Linked DNA regions of Oryctolagus cuniculus. The protein of the gene in region 1 binds, or shares a complex with, the protein of each later gene. Links are inferred from orthologs where the notes say so. Each region holds a gene or a part of one and is shown in the gene's direction. Other genes may lie near its edges.

The links. The genes of interacting proteins can lie anywhere in the genome.
Region 2: MEAF6 (region 1) and BRD1 share a complex: the UniProt entries of both Homo sapiens proteins name them as parts of the MOZ/MORF complex. The link is inferred for Oryctolagus cuniculus from reciprocal best matches to the Homo sapiens genes MEAF6 and BRD1.
Region 3: MEAF6 (region 1) and MORF4L1 share a complex: the UniProt entries of both Homo sapiens proteins name them as parts of the nuA4 histone acetyltransferase complex. The link is inferred for Oryctolagus cuniculus from reciprocal best matches to the Homo sapiens genes MEAF6 and MORF4L1.
Region 4: MEAF6 (region 1) and EPC1 share a complex: the UniProt entries of both Homo sapiens proteins name them as parts of the nuA4 histone acetyltransferase complex. The link is inferred for Oryctolagus cuniculus from reciprocal best matches to the Homo sapiens genes MEAF6 and EPC1.

The regions. Positions count from the first base shown.
Region 1 is NC_091438.1:135,241,569-135,245,691, forward strand, and holds the start of MEAF6 (chromatin modification-related protein MEAF6), read left to right. Parts: upstream 1-1,323; 5' UTR 1,324-1,403; coding exon 1,404-1,493; intron 1,494-2,055; exon of another isoform or gene 2,056-2,341; coding exon of another isoform or gene 2,342-2,395; intron 2,396-2,478; coding exon 2,479-2,594; intron 2,595-4,123.
Region 2 is NC_091442.1:122,871,329-122,875,471, reverse strand, and holds the start of BRD1 (bromodomain-containing protein 1), read left to right. Parts: upstream 1-1,343; 5' UTR 1,344-1,668; intron 1,669-2,023; exon of another isoform or gene 2,024-2,545; intron 2,546-3,749; 5' UTR 3,750-3,763; coding exon 3,764-4,143. UniProt on the Homo sapiens protein: Scaffold subunit of various histone acetyltransferase (HAT) complexes, such as the MOZ/MORF and HBO1 complexes, that acts as a regulator of hematopoiesis.
Region 3 is NC_091443.1:105,842,929-105,846,911, reverse strand, and holds the start of MORF4L1 (mortality factor 4-like protein 1), read left to right. Parts: upstream 1-1,183; 5' UTR 1,184-1,217; coding exon 1,218-1,257; intron 1,258-3,983. UniProt on the Homo sapiens protein: Component of the NuA4 histone acetyltransferase (HAT) complex which is involved in transcriptional activation of select genes principally by acetylation of nucleosomal histones H4 and H2A.
Region 4 is NC_091444.1:102,740,375-102,744,409, reverse strand, and holds the start of EPC1 (enhancer of polycomb homolog 1), read left to right. Parts: upstream 1-1,235; 5' UTR 1,236-1,565; coding exon 1,566-1,718; intron 1,719-2,890; exon of another isoform or gene 2,891-4,035. UniProt on the Homo sapiens protein: Component of the NuA4 histone acetyltransferase (HAT) complex, a multiprotein complex involved in transcriptional activation of select genes principally by acetylation of nucleosomal histones H4 and H2A.

The DNA.
Region 1 (4,123 bases):
GTAAAGAGCACTCAGGGCTGGTGTTGTGCCACAGCAGCTTAAGGTACTCCCAGGGATGCCCACATGTCGTATCAGAGTGCAGGCTGGAGTTCAGCTACTCCGTTTCCAGTCCAGCTTCCTGCAAGTGTGCCCAGGAAAGCAGCTGGGGATGGCCCAAGTCCTTGGGCCCCTGCTACCGATCTGGGAGACTTCTATGGGTTTAGCCTCATCCAGCCTGGCTGGATGGTCATGTTGTGGTCATTTGGGGATTGAACTAGTGGATGGAAGATCGCTCAATCTCATAGTCTCTGTCTCTGTCTCTCTCCCTCTCTAACTCTGCCTTTCAAATAAATAAAATAAGCCTTTAAAAAGTAATATTTTAAAAACAGTATACATATTGGGAAGGAGTAACAATATAAAACAATTCCCTATTTGCAAATAAAATGATTGTCACAGAAAAAATTCCAAGGAATCTGGACTAGAAAACCCTTCCTAAAATTAATAAGGGAGCTTGGCAAGATCCCAGGTTACTAAATCTATACACGAAAAGAAATTTCCAGAAATTAGCAGATAGACAAGATGGAGAATATAGATAGTAAAACTTAAAGGATTAAAGACGTTTCTTTCTTTACTTGAAAGGCAGAGAGAGAGGCAGAGAGCTTCCATTGGCTGCTTCACTCCCCAAATGCCCACAACAGCTGGGGCTGGGCCAAGCCCAAACCAGGAGCCTAGAACCTAACCCAGGTTTCCCAACTGGGTGGCAGGATCCCATGACATCCCCTTCTGCCTCCCAGGGTGCAGGTTAGCAGGAAGCTGGAATCAACATACCCAGGACTGAAACTGGGGCCCTTCGATATGGGACGCCAGCATCTCAAGCTGGCGCTTAACTCCTGAGCCAAATGCCCACCCCCAAATAAAGGATTCTTTAAAAAAAATTATTTGAAAGGCAGAGTTACAGAGAGAGAGGTCTTCCAAACGCTGCTTCACTCCGCAAACGGCTGCAATGGCCATGGCTGGGCCAAGCCAAGCAGGAGCCAGGAGCTTCACCCAGGGTGGGTGGAGTGAGGATAACCCTCAGGCTCTGACTCGGGCCCCTCGGTGGCAGTGAAGTCATTCCCCAGGGGAATGACTAGGAACTCTAAGCACGAGCCTGGCTTTGGACACTGTGAGCCCGCGGTGCCCCTAAAGCTCGCCGGCCAATCCTAGTGCGGAAAGGCAGATCCCAGCAGGTGCGGCAGCCCCACCTGCCGGATCCATCCCCGGGGCAGGGTTTCCCAGCGCCCCGCCCAAGCGCGGCGCCCGGCGGCGCGCGTCTCCGGAAGCCGCTCGCGCAGGCGCAGTGCAGCGGGCGCCCCCTGGCGGTCGGCAGCGGATCGCAGGGCCCGCCCCCAGCCGCCCGCCGCTGCTGCCCGCCTCAGCCCAACATGGCGATGCACAACAAGGCGGCGCCGCCGCAGATCCCGGACACCCGGCGGGAGCTTGCCGAGCTCGTGAAGCGGAAGCAGGAGCTGGCGGTGAGCGGCTGGGACCCGGGGCTCCGGCGTGGGGCCCCGCGCTCGCCCGGCCGCCGACCGCCAGCCCGGCCGCACCAGGCCGTCGGTTACTCCGGGGACGCCGCGCGCGGCCCGGGAGTCCGGCGGCCTGGGCCGGGGCGCGTGCCGCCGAGCGCCGTTTCCGGCGGTGCGGAGGCGGAGCGGCGGCCGGAGCCCGGAGGGGGCGGGGAGCGGGCCTCGGCGGCGCGGAGGAGGAAGGGCGCCGCGGGCCGGGGCGTGTGCGTGCGGGCGCCTGAGAGGGCGGGTGTCGTGGGTCGTGCGGGTGGGCGCGGGCGGAGGCGGGTCCCGGCCTGCGGGTGGGCTTTGGGGATGAGCCGAGTGTGGGAGCCGGTCTGGTCTCTGAGAGGATGGTGGGGGGGTAGGTCCCTTTTGGTCCTAGGAGCCCATCCGTGGGAGGGTGTCTGGGATGGGCAGGGGTGTGATCTTTCCAGAAGGTGACAGGCGGGGGACGAGGACCGGGTTGGGAAACTGGGAGCCGTGACGTGCACCCCGCGTTTGGGCGCACCTGCTGCCGCCCTTCCAGGTTTCCATGACAACGGGCAGCCCGGGGCCGGCGGCCTCGCCGAGCCCTTGGGAGGGCAGTGCCCAGTGCCTCGCTCATTCCGCGCCTGGTGGCGGTCCCCTTTGTGCGTGGGCGTGGAGCCTGCCCCTGTTCTGCCTCGGCCCGGTTCTTGACACTTGGGTTTCCGAGAGCCCTGTGCAGAATTCCGCACGTGTGGGCGTTTACCTGGGGACAGGCTCTGTGGAGTCCGTTCTGTTCCCAAAGGGGTCGGGCCATCACCCCGAAAGATCCAGACTCTTGGACTTGAATGGCCTACCGTTCCTGGAGTCCTCCAGCCCTCCACGAAGGTAGTTTAATGTGGGTGAGTTTGGGTTTATGATAAGCCCAGGGTCAGGCTTTCAGTGTGGGCACAGCTAATCCCCGGCCTGGCTTGTCGTCTCCCAGGAAACTCTGGCCAACTTGGAGAGACAGATCTATGCTTTTGAAGGAAGCTACCTGGAAGACACTCAGATGTATGGCAATATCATTCGTGGCTGGGACCGCTATCTAACCAACCAAAAGTGAGTTTCCAAAGGTTGTGCTCTCGAAATACCCATTTGTGGGATTGTGTGTTGTTGACAGCCATGGGGCCGGGGAGGCAGCAGCCGTCAGGTGGTGGTGTGCAGGGAGGTCTGGGCTTGAGCTGGCACTGAGGGTCCGCCCCTGCCTCCCCGAGTAGAACAGGGGGAGTCTGGCCCTGCCCAAGAGCTGTGTAAGGCTTGGATGGAGTACGGCGTGTGACAGTCTGCACAGCTCTGGTAGTGTTTTCCACATTTTGATCAGTCTTGAGTTCAACCCTTGGAAGTTTTGCCATACCTGTGTGGCTACTGTACTACAGTGTTATTCTTTGGGACTGGCTGTGTGGCACAGGGGGTTAAACTGCAACCTGTGACGTCAGCATCCTGTTTAAGAGAGCCAGTTCTAATCCCAGCTGTTCTGTTTTCAATCCAGCTCCCTGCTGATGTGCTAGGAAGGCGGTGGAAGATGGCCCACAAGGTTGGGTCCCTGCCAACCGTGTGGGAGACCAGGTAGAGTTCCAGGCTTTTGATTTTGGCCTGGCCCAGCCCTGGCTGTTGTGGGCATTTGGGGAGTGAACCACGGATGGAAGACCTCTCTTTCTTTGTCTCTCCCTTTCTGTTACTCTGCCTTTCAAATAAATAAATCTTTTAAAAAAATATTTCATTTATTTGAAAGGCAGAGTGACAGAGATCTTTCATATGCTGGTTCACTCCCCAAATGGTGCAACAGCTGGGGCTGGACTGATCTGAAGCCAGGAGCCAGGAATTCCATCCAGGTCCCCTGCGTGTTGCAAGGGCCCCAAGCATTTGGGCCGTCTTCGGCTGCCCTTCCAGGCACATCAGCAGGGAGCTGGATTGGAAGTGGAGGAACTGGGACAGAAACCGGTGCCCATATGGGATGCCAGCACCCACTTAACCTGCTACGCTACAGTGCTAACCCCCATATAAGTAAAATGTTAAAAAAATGATTCTTTTCAAATTTTGGAAATTTTTAAAAATTTAAGTAGAATTTTTTAAAAAATTTACTTATTTATTTGAAAGAGTTACGCAGAGAGAGAGAGGGAGGTCCTCCATCTGCTGGTTCATTCACTCCCCAGATGGCTGCAAGGACTGGAACTGCGCTGATCCGAAGCCAGGAGCCAGGAGCCTCTTCTGGGTTCCCCACGTAGGTGCAGGGTCCCAAAGACTTGGGCCATCTTCCACTGCTATTCCAGGCCATAGAAGAGAGCTGGATCAGAAGAGGAACAGCCAGGACTAGAACTGGTGCCTATATGGGCTGCCAGCGCTTCAGGCCAGGGTGTTAACCCGCTGCGCCACAGCGCGGGCCTTAGGTAGAATTTTTTTTTTTTACGTTTATTTGGAAGACAGAGTGGCAGGCAGAGAGATTTTCCATCAGGTTAAAGGCAGGCTGAAGCCTGGAGGCAGAACTCAGTCCTAGTCTCTCCTGGGTGACTCCTTGAGTCACCACCTGCAGCCTCCCTGGGCGCACATTAGCAGGACATTGGAATTGGAAGCAGATGGGACTCAAGCCT
Region 2 (4,143 bases), on another chromosome or scaffold:
CCTTCAGGACCCCGACTTCCGGTTCCCGGATCTCCCTCAGAACCTCCACCCTGGTCCCTGAACCACTTCAGGACCGCGAACACTGACTGGATTTGACCCCAACCCCGGGTCCCGAGATCCCCCTCGGGACCCCGACCCCCGGTCCCAGAACCCCTCAGGACGCTGACCCCTCGTCCGTGGCTTCCCTCAGCACCCTGACCCCCGTGAACCCCTTAGGACTCCGACCCCTGGTCACAGGATCTCCACCCTCAATCCGAACACTGACTGGATTTCCTCAGGACCCCGACCCCTGGTCCGAGAACCCCTCAGGACCCCGACCCTCAGTCCAGATCCCCCTCAGAACCCCGACCCCTGGTCCCAGGGTCTCCACCCCCACTCCACTTCAGGACTGCGAACACTGACTGGATTTGACCCCAACCCCGGTCCTGGGATCCCCCTCAGGACCCCGACCCCCGGTCTGAGAAACCCTCAGGACGCTGACCCCTCGTCTGCGGCTTCCCTCAGGACCCCGAACCCTGGTCCGAGAACCCCTCAAGACCCTGACACTGGGTCCCGGAATCCCCCTCAGGACCCTTCTCGGCTTCTGAGCCCCCTCAGGACCCGACCCCTGGTCCCAGGGCCTCCACCCTCAGTCCCCAAACACTGACTGGATTTCCTCAGACCCTGACCCGGTCCATGAACCCCTCAGCACGCCGACCCCTGGTCCCAGGATCTCCACCCCTGGCCCCGAACACTGACTGGATTTCCTCAGGACCCCGACCCCGGTCCCGGGATCCCCCTCAGAACGCTTCCTCCCAGTCCCCGATCCCCCTCAGGACCCCGCCCCCGGGTCCCCGATCCCCCTCAGGACCCTTCCTCCCGGTCCCCGATCCCCCTCAGGACCCTTCCTCCCGGTCCCCGATCCCCCTCAGGACCCCGACCCCCGGGTCCCCGATCCCCCTCAGGACCCTTCCTCCCGGTCCCCGATCCCCCTCAGGACCCTTCCTCCCGGTCCCCGAGCCCCCTCAGGACCCTTCCTCCCGGTCCCCGATCCCCCTCAGGGCCCTTCCTCCCGGTCCCCGAGCCCCCTCAGGACCCTTCCTCCCGGTCCCCGATCCCCCTCAGGACCCTTCCTCCCGGTCCCCGAGCCCCCTCAGGACCCCGACCCCCGCCCGCCGCCGCCGTGACGCGGCCCCCACCGCCCCGCAGCCGCAGCCGCAGCCGCGGCCCCGCCCCCGCCCCGCCCCGCCCCGCCCCGGCCCCGCCCCCGGCGCCGCGCGGGCCGCGTCACGGCGGCGGCGGGCGGGGCGCGCCTCGCACGCAGGCGCCGGGCGGAGCGCTCGCCGCATTGTTTGCTTCGCTGGGGAGCGAGCGGCCGGCCCGGGCGTCCGAGCAGCCCCGCGCCCGACCCGCGCTCGTCCCCGCCCCGTCCCCGCGCCCGCCGGCCGGGCCCCGCGCCGGGCCTCCAGCCGGGCCCAGCCGGCGCCGCGCGAGCCGCGCCCGCGCCCGCGGCCGCCCCGCCGGGCCCGCAGCCGCCGCGGCCATTCGCCCGCGCCCTGAGCGGCGGCGGGGCCCGGCCTGCGCGGCCGTTGGCGGAGGAGCCGCGGGCGCCATTAGCGCCGCCTCGGCCGCGCCGGTCCCGTGCCCGCCGCCCGCCCGCCGGGCTCCCGCGGCCGCGGCGCCCCGGAGGTGAGTGGGCGGGGGCGGCCGGGAGGGCTCCCCGGGGCCTCGCGGGCCCGCCGCCGCCTCGGCCCGGCCTCTCGGGGTGGGGGTGCGGGCGCCATGTTTGCGACGGCGGCGGCTCCGCATTGTCCGCGGGCGGGCGGCCGGGCGGCCGGGGCGGCGGCGGCGGGGCGCGGGAGGCCGGGGCTGTCGGGCCGGCCGGGCCGGGCGCGCCGGGCGGGGGCCGCCGGGCCGGGGAGGCCGCGGAGGCCGGGAGTCGGGGCCCGGGGCGGGCGGGCGGGCGGCCGCTGCGCACGGGCGAGGGTCCCGCCCGGAGTCCGCGCCGGGCCGGGGCTGCCGGCGGGGCGCGTTATGTAACCGAGCGGCCCGGCTCGCCTGCGGGCACGGGAGCTCCCGGGCGGCCTCGCCCCGCGCGGCGTCGGCCCGCACCCTGCCGGGCGTCGCGGGGCCCGGCGCGCGCGGCGTGGGCGGGAGAAGAAACTTTCCGTGGGGTCCGGCCGCGGGGCGCGCGCGGCGCGGGGCTCCGCGGGGTCCGGTGCGGACACGGGGTACCGGCTCGCGCCGGGCCGGGTGTGCGGGTCCCGGCGCCGCCGCGGCCGCCCGTTGCTCGGCTGTGTTTCCCGCACTGGTTCCCGCAGCCGCGGGTGTGCGCAGAGCCCGGGGCCACGTGCGGGGAAGCGCTCCTCGCAGACGCGGCCGGACGCGGGCCGCGTGGGTGTGGGAGGCCGGGTCGCAGCCGGAGCGCTGGGCGCCGCTGCGAGACAATTGCCGGTTTGGTTGGAACCAACTGTTGCTCGGGCCGCACCTCGGTAATGACAGGAGGAGCGGGCCCTGCCCGTCGGGGCCGGGGTCCGAGGGGCGGCGCCGGGAGGCCCCGCGGCGGGTGAGTTGGGGCGTGGCCGACCCCTGGCTGGAGGAAGACCCCGCGGGCGAGGGGTCTGCGTTTGGGGTTTGCTGGGATGCCCTTCCGGAGTGATGGCGGAGCCTGCTGTTGGCCGGCCCTCCCAGAGGTGCAGCTCGCTCACTGCCAGGCTGTGAGTGCGGGCCGTGGGGGAAGTGTGCGCTGGGAGCTCGCTGGTCCCCCTCCCCGAGGAGAGCGGGTTCTCTTGAGGCCTGGTGGGCAGGTTTGAGGCACCTGGACCCGTGCAGGGGACCCTCTGGGCGGTGCAGGTGCTCCGTGGGGCGGCAGCAGAGCGTCTCCTCCCCTGGTGTTGCCTAGCACGTGGAGGCCAGCGCAGCGGTCAGGCTGGGCTGAGAAATGCCCCTGAGGCTGGGGCGGGTTAACTGGCCCCACTGGTTTCCACAGTGTCACTGCTGAGGTTTGCACAGTTGATTGGGGCCCTCCGGGCATGGGGACACCCCCCAGAGCAGTGCACAGCTCCCCTCGAGTCCTGGAGTGGCTGCTGTGTCTGGCCTCAGCGCACGTGGGGACAGATTACGGAGAGGGTGGACAGGCCCTGGTTTGTCTCCTGCCTCGTTATGTTGTTGGACCCTGGAAGCTCCCAGCCCCCAGCAGGGGTGCCACACGGGGAGCAGGTGCACTTGGGCTGGTGGAGGCGCTTGGGGGCAGCAGTGGGCAGCACAGAGGGCAGTGCAGGCAGAGTGTTGGGACCCAGTGCCCACCTGGACTATGGGTTAGCCCTGTGCATGGTCTAATGGGGGACCAGCTGCACACCAGCCAGTCAGCCCGACACTACACCTGTGGGCAGAGGTGAGGGTCGGGGTCACACCTGCTGGCTTTAGCCAGCAAATGCTGGGAATCCCAGAGCTCCGGAGGGGGCTTGGGCCAGTTGGCAGGAGCCCTCGGGGGCTGCCCCTCCACGCTGCCTCCCTTCCTGGTTCCACGGCTGGCTCCTCTGTCCTGGCAGTTACCCTGTGGCCTGGGGAGGAGGCACCGTTGCAGGGTTATTGAACGTGGCCGTGAGTTTCGGGATGAGCGGTTTGAAGTCTCAGCAATCCGAGAGCTGTGCGTTTGCTTTTGACTGAGGGTTGAGTTGATGGCTAGCTCTGCCCGAGGTGCTTTCGTGGTTTTCTCTCGTGGCTTTGGTGCTCTGCCTGGGACTAACCTCGGTGTGGTTTTGTTCTAGGTAATCATTACCAAATGAGGAGGAAAGGGCGATGCCATCGAGGCTCTGCAGCGAGGCACCCCTCCTCCCCGTGCAGTGTTAAACACTCCCCCACGCGAGAGACGCTCACGTACGCTCAGGCTCAGAGGATGGTCGAGATAGAGATTGAAGGGCGTTTGCACAGGATCAGTATCTTTGATCCCCTGGAGATCATCTTAGAAGATGACCTCACCGCGCAGGAGATGAGTGAGTGCAACAGCAACAAGGAGAACCGGGAGAGGCCGCCTGTTTGCTTAAGAACTAAGCGTCACAAAAACAACAGAGTCAAGAAGAAGAATGAAGCCCTCCCCGGCAGCACCCACGGCACGCCGACCTCCGCCAGCGCGCTGCCCGAGCCCAGGGTGCGCATCGTGGA
Region 3 (3,983 bases), on another chromosome or scaffold:
CTGGGAAAGCAGTAGAAGATGGCCCAAGTGCTTGGGCCCCTGCACCCACGTGGGAGACCTGGAAGAAGCTCCTGGCTCCTGGCTTCGGATCAGTCCAGCTCTTGGCTGTTGTGGCCAATTGGGGAGGGAACCAGCGGGTGGAAGCTCTCTCTCTCTCTCTCCACCTCTCTAACTCTGCCTTTCAAATAAATAAATCTTTAAAAAAACCCCAATATATAAGTACTTTATATTGTAAACAATGTTTTTTAAAAAGTCCTATAGGGTCTAGTTTTGGTGGGGCTGGGGCCATGGAGAGCCCTCGCTGCTTCCGTCCGTGCCCTCAGGGGCAGTGGAGGAAAGCTGAGCTGGTGTTGGTTCAGAGCGAACGAGGAAGACACCTTCTGGGTTGTCGCAGGTAAAAGCAGGGGCTGTTACATGGAGGCTGGAGTCACAGCAATGGCGCTGCGTCCAGAATTGGCGCGCGGAGGATTTGCAAACCTTGCACGGCGGGTGGGCTGGGGGCCGCTGCGGGGACCTGAGCCCCCGGCTAAGCGCTTGGCTAAGCGCTCCGCCCAAGACCACCAGCCCCCCACCCCCGCCCTGCGTCTCCCTCCTTAGTTCCGCAGGCCGCGGCCCGGCGAGCAGCGAAGGTAGAAACGGGAGTCCAACAATGGCCCTCGGTCCCGTCCACCCAACAAGCCGGCCACGACCCTGCCCCACCAGGAAGCTTCCAGACGTCGACCATTTCCCGAGCCCCGGGTACCCCTCATCTTTGCGGCCTTGGCTTTGCTGAGGGGAACTCCGCAAGCAGTGCGATTCCCACTCTTCCCCCGCGGCTGGCCCCCCGAACCGCAATCCCAGCTCTCACAACCCACAAAACCAGCCCCAGCCGTGAGCCACCCGCGCCGACGGCGCGCGGGCGCCCACGCCGGGTGGGGGAGGGGCGCCTCGTTCCCGCCCCCGCCCCGCGGCGGCGCCCGCCCCGCCGGAACTACAAGTCCCGGCATGCCCCGCGGCGGCGCGGGCGCAGCGGCGCGTGCGCGGCGGCCGGCAGTTGGCTGGCGCGACGCCTGCGCGGGTCGCGGGGCGGTGAGGTGTGCGGACGCTGGCAAATCGGGCCCAGGATGTAGAGCCGGCGGTTCCTGACGGCGCGTCTGACGCTGAGTTGGGTGGGGTAGAGAGTAGGGGGCGGTAGTCGGGGGTGGTGGGAGAAGGAGGAGGCGGCGAATCACTTATAAATGGCGCCCAAGCAGGACCCAAAGCCTAAATTCCAGGAGGGTAAGTGTGCGCCTTTGAGGGGAAGGCGCCTAACGGCCCGGGGAGGCAGGCGGCGCGGGGTGGTGGCGGCCCGCGGGCCGGGGCGGGGGGCTGAGCTTTGTGCGGGGAAGCGCATTGCGCACGGTGGCCCCGGGCGGCCCGAGGGGAAGGGCTTTGTGCGGCGGAGGCGCCGAGGCGGGCGTCGGGGCGGCGGGAGGCGCGCCCGGCGCGGGGCAGAGCCTCGGCCGAGCGTTTGTTATTGTTTGGAGGAGGAGGGCGCGGGCGAGGCAGCCCATTGTGGGGCGGCGGCGCGCCATGGCGGCCGTTAGGGGAAGTGATGTGGCGTGGGGGAGGCGGCGGCGGCGGCGCGGGCGACGGGCCCGCGGCCGCGGTGGCGGGAACCGGCCGGCGGAGCGTGGCCGCCGGCAGCCCCGGGGTGGTCGGCGTTGGGCCGGGACGCGGAGCTGCGGCTGAGGGGGGTGTGGGGGTGCGGGTGGGGGATGGGCGCGGCGCCCCGGGGCGGGAGAACTGCGTTGTAAAATGGCCGCCGCAAGATGGCCGCCGGCGTCGGCGTGGGCCGCGGCCCCGGTGCGGGGCGGGCGCAGCGCCCCCTGGCTCGGCGTCCGCGCGGGGAGGCCCGAGCCCCGCGCTCACCTCGGAGCGGCGGGTGGGGGGCGCGGAGGGGGAGAAAAACAAGACCGGAGCGAGCTGGGCGCTCGGGGCGGCTTTGTGTGGCCTGCGGGCATCGCTGGCTCCGCCCAGGGGCGGGGCCCGGGGTGCGCGTGCGCCGTGCGGCGGCTCGTGTGCCGCGCAGAGAAACGGGCTTTGGTGCGGCCGCGGACTGTGGGTGACCCGCGGCCATAAAACCTGATGAAGTGACTCGACGGAGAATTTGTATTGATTTTTTTTTTTTTTTTTTTATGGGCGAGCGTTTCGGCCGACTTGGGCGAATGGCGGCCCTGGCCTTCGGCGCCCGTGGAGTGTGTATGAGGCTGTCTGTGTTTGCGCGGGTCGCGGGCCGGTGAGGTCTGGGCGAGGAGGAACTGCCCATTTCCTTTCGTGCCAGGGAGATGGGTGCTGAGTACCTCCGATGCCCTGTCCGACGTGCGCGCGGCCTGTGTGGGGGCTTTTCAGGTTGAATGCGTGCAGCTAGGAGAACTTTAAAGACGGAGCCCCAGTGTGCCGTGACTTCAGTGGGATGTGAGAGGGCTCTCCCGGGGTCCCGGGGTACTGTGGGTGATGAGCGCCTCCCGCCTCCCGCCGGGATGCCTGTGGCTGTGTCCTCTGGAGTCGTGATTTTGCTAGGTGTTCAGAACAGGGGTCGATGGATGTCGTTCAGAAAGCCCGTGAGCCTGGCGGGGCACAAAACTTTTTTCTATCAAGGCTGAAACTAGCTATTGCGGATATTAATGGAAACGCTCTCCCTCAACAGCTGAACGCCTCGTTGTAGCAGTGTACTTTTTATATCCCAGCTTTGTGTGGAAGATACAGACCCTGTTTTACGTGTTTGTAGAAATGGAAAAAACTATAGGCTCCGATGTAGGAACAACTCTGCAGCACTTTTTTTTTTTTTTTTTTTAAGAGTTATGGAGCTGGTGCACTCGCTAGATGGCCCCACCAGCCCAGGCCAGGCGCTTCATCTGGGTCTCCCACGTTGTGTGGGGCCCAGGCACTTGGGCCATCTTCTGCTTTCCCAGGTGCCATAGCAGGGAGCTGGTTTGGAAGTGGAACAGCATGAAGGCCGCAGCTTTACCCATTGTGCCACTTGCCCCTCCCCCCGTGTTTCGGTTCTAAACCACAGGAATGGTAGAGTGGGGTGATACTAGGAAGGAACATGGAACCGAGGTACCCAGGTGCGGTCTCCGCGCTTGCTGGGTAGTTTTCTGTTGCTTCACACCTGAATTTAACAGTTTTCTTTGTAAAACTAAAATATTCAGAGAATATCGTGTTAAGGAAGAAGAAATGTTTGTTCAGTGCTACCCGAATTGAAACATTATAGAAGAGAATGTAATGTGATGGGTAAAAGTAGGAATTGCCAGAATTTGATTTTTTTCTGAGTAGTGTGAACCCAGGTTTACTCATGGTACAGAATGTCAGCACAAAGCAGATGAAAATGCAGCGAGCAGTGTTCAGGCATGATGAACGCGCAGGCTTGGGCCACTTGCAGCTGTTAAAGCGCAGGGCAACGGACACTTGGACATTATCCCCTTTGAGGGGAGACAGTTCTGTCAGGAATTAAGAAATTGGCTGATGGTGGCTTTTAATGAGCACAACCAGTGGGAGGATGGGAACTCGGGACTGTCATTAATCTTGAATTTGAAAACATTGAGCAGAATTCGCCTTGGGACTAGAAAGGATTAATGGTGGAGAATAGTGTGAAAAACCTACCAAATATGGTGGCCTGCTGTTTCCAAATTACTGCTCTTCTACTTCAGCGAAAAATCAACGATTTGTTATCCAGGGTCATGCTCTTAAGCTAGCTGGTATTTCAACAGAATACTAGGGTCAGGTAGCTAGAATGGAGGTCAGAAGGTATCAGCCTTAGGGTAGTTTTTGGCAGCAGCCATCAAGAAAAGAAGAGAGGAGAGATTAAGCCATTTTCGCGGTACCTTAAAAATGTACATGGAAGTGGAACCAGGGAGCTCACAGATCAGCTCTTTGGTGCTGTTGTTTGTTAGCAGTGTAGTTTATCTGTACCCCTAAGCTGTTGGAAAAGTCACTGATCTTGGTATCTCAGTCTCCACTTT
Region 4 (4,035 bases), on another chromosome or scaffold:
AGGGTGACTGCAGAGAATTGTGGTTTCCGCTCCCCTTGTCTTCTGCCCACCTAGTGGAGGGCAGCTAAACCAGCCTGGAAGATAGCAGTTCCCCTATGCCCCGTAAGCTAATAACAGTTCATCCCAAACCCAGTATTTGGGAATAGCGATTATTTTTTATTATGTAGCCCCCGGCGAGAAAGGCAGACTTAGAAAACATGTTTGCATCTTGGCATACGAGTGAAATCTTGCTGTCACACTTACAAAACCCACTGCAACAATCTTTCTGATTTTTAAAATACCTCCCTGGAAAGGGATCAGCGGATACCCACTTTAGTGTGTAATATAAACCAGGTGTTGGCAGTCTGTCAGCTCCATCCAAACCTCTTCCAATCGTTCAGCTTTTCTCGTTGGGTTCGGTGGGATCGCTCCAGGTCTTTGTATGATTCCATTTTATAAAGTTTTCAGAGGACAAATTCGAGCGAGAACTCATGGCGATGTTGAAAACAGCTTTTTTTTCTTGCGGTGCAAACAGAAAATCGTGAACTGAATATAAATAACTGGCGTTAAGGTTTTGAAGTAGATCTTGATTTAAATGCTTTTTCATGAAGGTGGTGTCCAGTATAATCCCCTTTGCTTCAATCACAGTAAAACACATAAGATAAAATGTAGCATGCATTTTTAAGAGCTACTTTTGTAGTGGAATAGGATGCCTGCCCACGGGTGGGAAACTGACCAGCGATTTGATCGCGGAGCCTATCAAATACTATAATCCGAAGTTCCGGTCGACATAAAAATAATTGCCGGTAAAAGTTTACCGCAAGCAGCACTCCGTGTGCGTTTCTATGTTAAAGACCCGCACGGGCAGGGGTGCGCGGCGTCCGTGCGCCGGCCCGGTGACGCGGGTGCCCGAGCCCGGTGACCCCGGGGCCGCAGCCTCGGCCCGTCGTCCCCTCCGCGTCGCCCTCCCCAGGCCCGGGCGTGCGGGCGCAGTTTCCCTGTACCGGCGCCGGCTGGGGAGGAGGGGAGGAGTGGAGGAGTGCGCGGGGCAGCGCGGCGGGAGCGAGCGTGAGAAAGTGAGCGTTTGCGCCCCGAAGTGCAGCGGGAGCCTCCGGCCGGCGCCCGGCGTCCGAGCGCCCCGGCCGCCCCCGAGCCCGCGCCGGGCGGGGGCCCCGAGCCGCGAGCCGCGAGCCGCGAGCGCCGGGCGCCGGGCGCCGGGGGTTGGCGGGACGCGCGCTCCGTGCCGGCGCCCGGCCTCGAGCCCGCGCTCCCCCCCCCCCCCCGCGTGCCCGCGCCGCTGCGCGATGCAGTGTGGGGAATGGCTGGGGTTGGCTGAAGAGCGCACAGTGGAGTTTTAATGTCCGCCATGTTGGCCATGGCGTATTGAAGAGAGCGAGCGAGAGAGGAGCGGAGCGGCACAGCCTCCCACCCTCCCGGCTGGTGTTAGTGCCCGGACGGCGGGCTCTGCGCTCCGCCCCTCCAGTCCCCGGCAGCGGTAGGCGAGTGGGGACCGAACCCCCGGTTCTCCATGATCCCGCTGGCCGGGGCCGTTTCCCCAGAGCGGAGAGGTATCTGCTGCGCCTGAGATGAGTAAACTGTCGTTTCGGGCGCGGGCGCTAGACGCCTCGAAGCCGCTGCCGGTGTTCCGCTGTGAGGATCTGCCCGACCTGCACGAATACGCCTCGATAAACCGGGCCGTGCCGCAGATGCCCACCGGAATGGAGAAGGAAGAGGAGTCGGTACGTGTTAACTCCCCTGTCCGACCCGCCGCCAGGCCCGCTCCACTGCTGCCTGCGGCGGCGGAGCAGCCGACCCACACAAAATGGCCGCCATCTTCTCCTCGCCGCCGACTCTCGGTCGCCGGCCGGGCCGCTCCCCCGCCGCCCCCGGCCGCGACCCCCGGCCGCCGCGGCCCGGCGGGGCCTCCTCTCGGGCCACCCGCCGACCCCGGGCCCTGGTACCCGGGTCCCGCGGAGTTCGGGGGCCCGAAAGGCACAAAGGGGTCACGTGACGAAGCTGCCGGCAGCCATTTTGTGGTCTTAGTGCTTGGGTTGGGCCTTGTGCATCCGGCGAGGGGAGCGGGCTGGGTGGCGGTGGGGGTGCGGCGAGCCGCGGAGCCGCGAGCCGCGGAGGCCCCGCCTGCAGGCCTCTCCGCGCGCCGCTGGGTGGCGCTCCGGGGCCGGCGCCGGGCAGCGCGGGCGCAGCCGGGGACGCTCGCTTGCCGGTGGCCTGGGACGCTGCTGGGCGCTCTGCACGGCGCCCACGTGGAGCCCCGGCGGGGCCCGCCCGAGGGGCGCTGCGTGCCGGCCCGGGCCCCTTCACTCCTGGTGGGAGACGCGGCTTCGTGCAGCGCTAGTTAGCGGGAGCGGAGCGCACACGGGCGTAGGGCGCGGGTGTGCGGGGCCGCGCGGCCGTGCCGAAGCCTTTCTCTGGATGATTTACTTGGAACAGAAGTTGCGCCTGCCTTTTAATCGCTCCACGTGTGAGCAAGGGCAGCGTGGTAGCGCTACATTTGGACAGAGAGGCAAGGACTTTGTTCCCCTTAGCCGCTCAGTTTAAGGAAACCCACCCACACGAGTGTTAACGCTGGGGTGTCTTAAATTGAGTGGGTTTCTGTATTTAAATGACTGCTTTCAGGGCTGGACCTTGTATCCCAGTCGTGGCTTCGCTCGGTGGCGGAGTTGGGTCCAGACGCGAACATGATGGCCTCTTCCTCTGGTTTGCCCCGGCTGCTTGACAGTAACTTAACGACCACTCCTTGCAGGTGCAGCCGAGTGAGCAGGGGCAGTGCCTTGACAGTTCAAGGAGTCCAGGGAGCGCGGACTTCTTGGGTGCTGTAATACTTCGTGGGGACCGGCAACCTTTGCAGTGTGGAAGCTGTGCTCTGTAATGCTGTCTTTGCAAATAAAACTCTTTACACTGTTCGGGTCGTTTAAGCGTCTCAAGTGAAATAGTTGTGGCAGTGGAGTGTCACCTTTGAGAGTGGTGTCTTTGCCTGCGGAAGACGCTGCCTGCCAAGCGCACGGAGCCAGTGGGATTTCCTAGTGCAGGACTGACCTCCGAGACTGTGCCACTCCGTTTGTTTTCCTTGGTTCAACTTCAGAGTAGAGTCCTGCCATCTGTTAAATAAGTGATTTAAAAAAAAAAAATTAAAGTACTTGTGATTGCAGCATCTTGTCTTTTGGTTTTATTTTGTTTCTCTCGGTCAGTTTGACAGGTAATACTTTGAAGGTGGGGAGTTGATGTGACTCGGCCCTGGGAATTGATTTACAGTTCTTGTTATACAGCCAAGGAAGAAATGCTTAAAAAGCCCGACAGCACGACAGTACACTTTAGACATTTAGTTCTATCTTGCTTCTATGAATACTTGGATAGTCCCAAGAGCTACAACACTTCACATCCAACAAAAACTGTGATGAATGAAGCGTAACACCTCAAGAATAGGTACTGAACTTAATCATAGAGTGTCAAGAAAGTACCTGGGTAGATAAGCGGCTGTTCACTTCTGTGGTGCTGCGAGAGGCCATACATATCACCATCTTGAAAGCAGTGTGTTACACAGTATTAAAAATGTATACTAAATGTTAATAAAGGTAATTGAGTTGCCTTAACTTTAGAAAAACAAAAGCCTTTTGATACAAATTTGCTGAGAATATTTTGTACTTAGAGGAAGGATTGAAACAAACCTCTGCCTTTGACAAATTAGTTAGGCCCATTCTTAGGTCCCAGTAACCTAGAACCTAAATTGACTCAAGTTTAGAAAAAGATACATGCTTAGTGGTGATGGTGGTGGTGAAAGAAGGGGGCAGAATGAGGTGAGGCTCTTGGATACCTGGCTCCTTGAGAAAGCATTTGATGAGCAAGATACATTTACACGGGAATATAAGTAGTCATTATAAAAGTGAGCAGAAATATGGGTATTTTAACATGGGGGAAATAACTATTGTACTGCATTTAACCAATCTTAATAATATAAGCTAAACTGGCCTAATTAAACTTTTTTTTTTTTTTTTTTTTTTAAGAAACAACTTAAGTAGAGGCCCCCTCTCCCTGCAG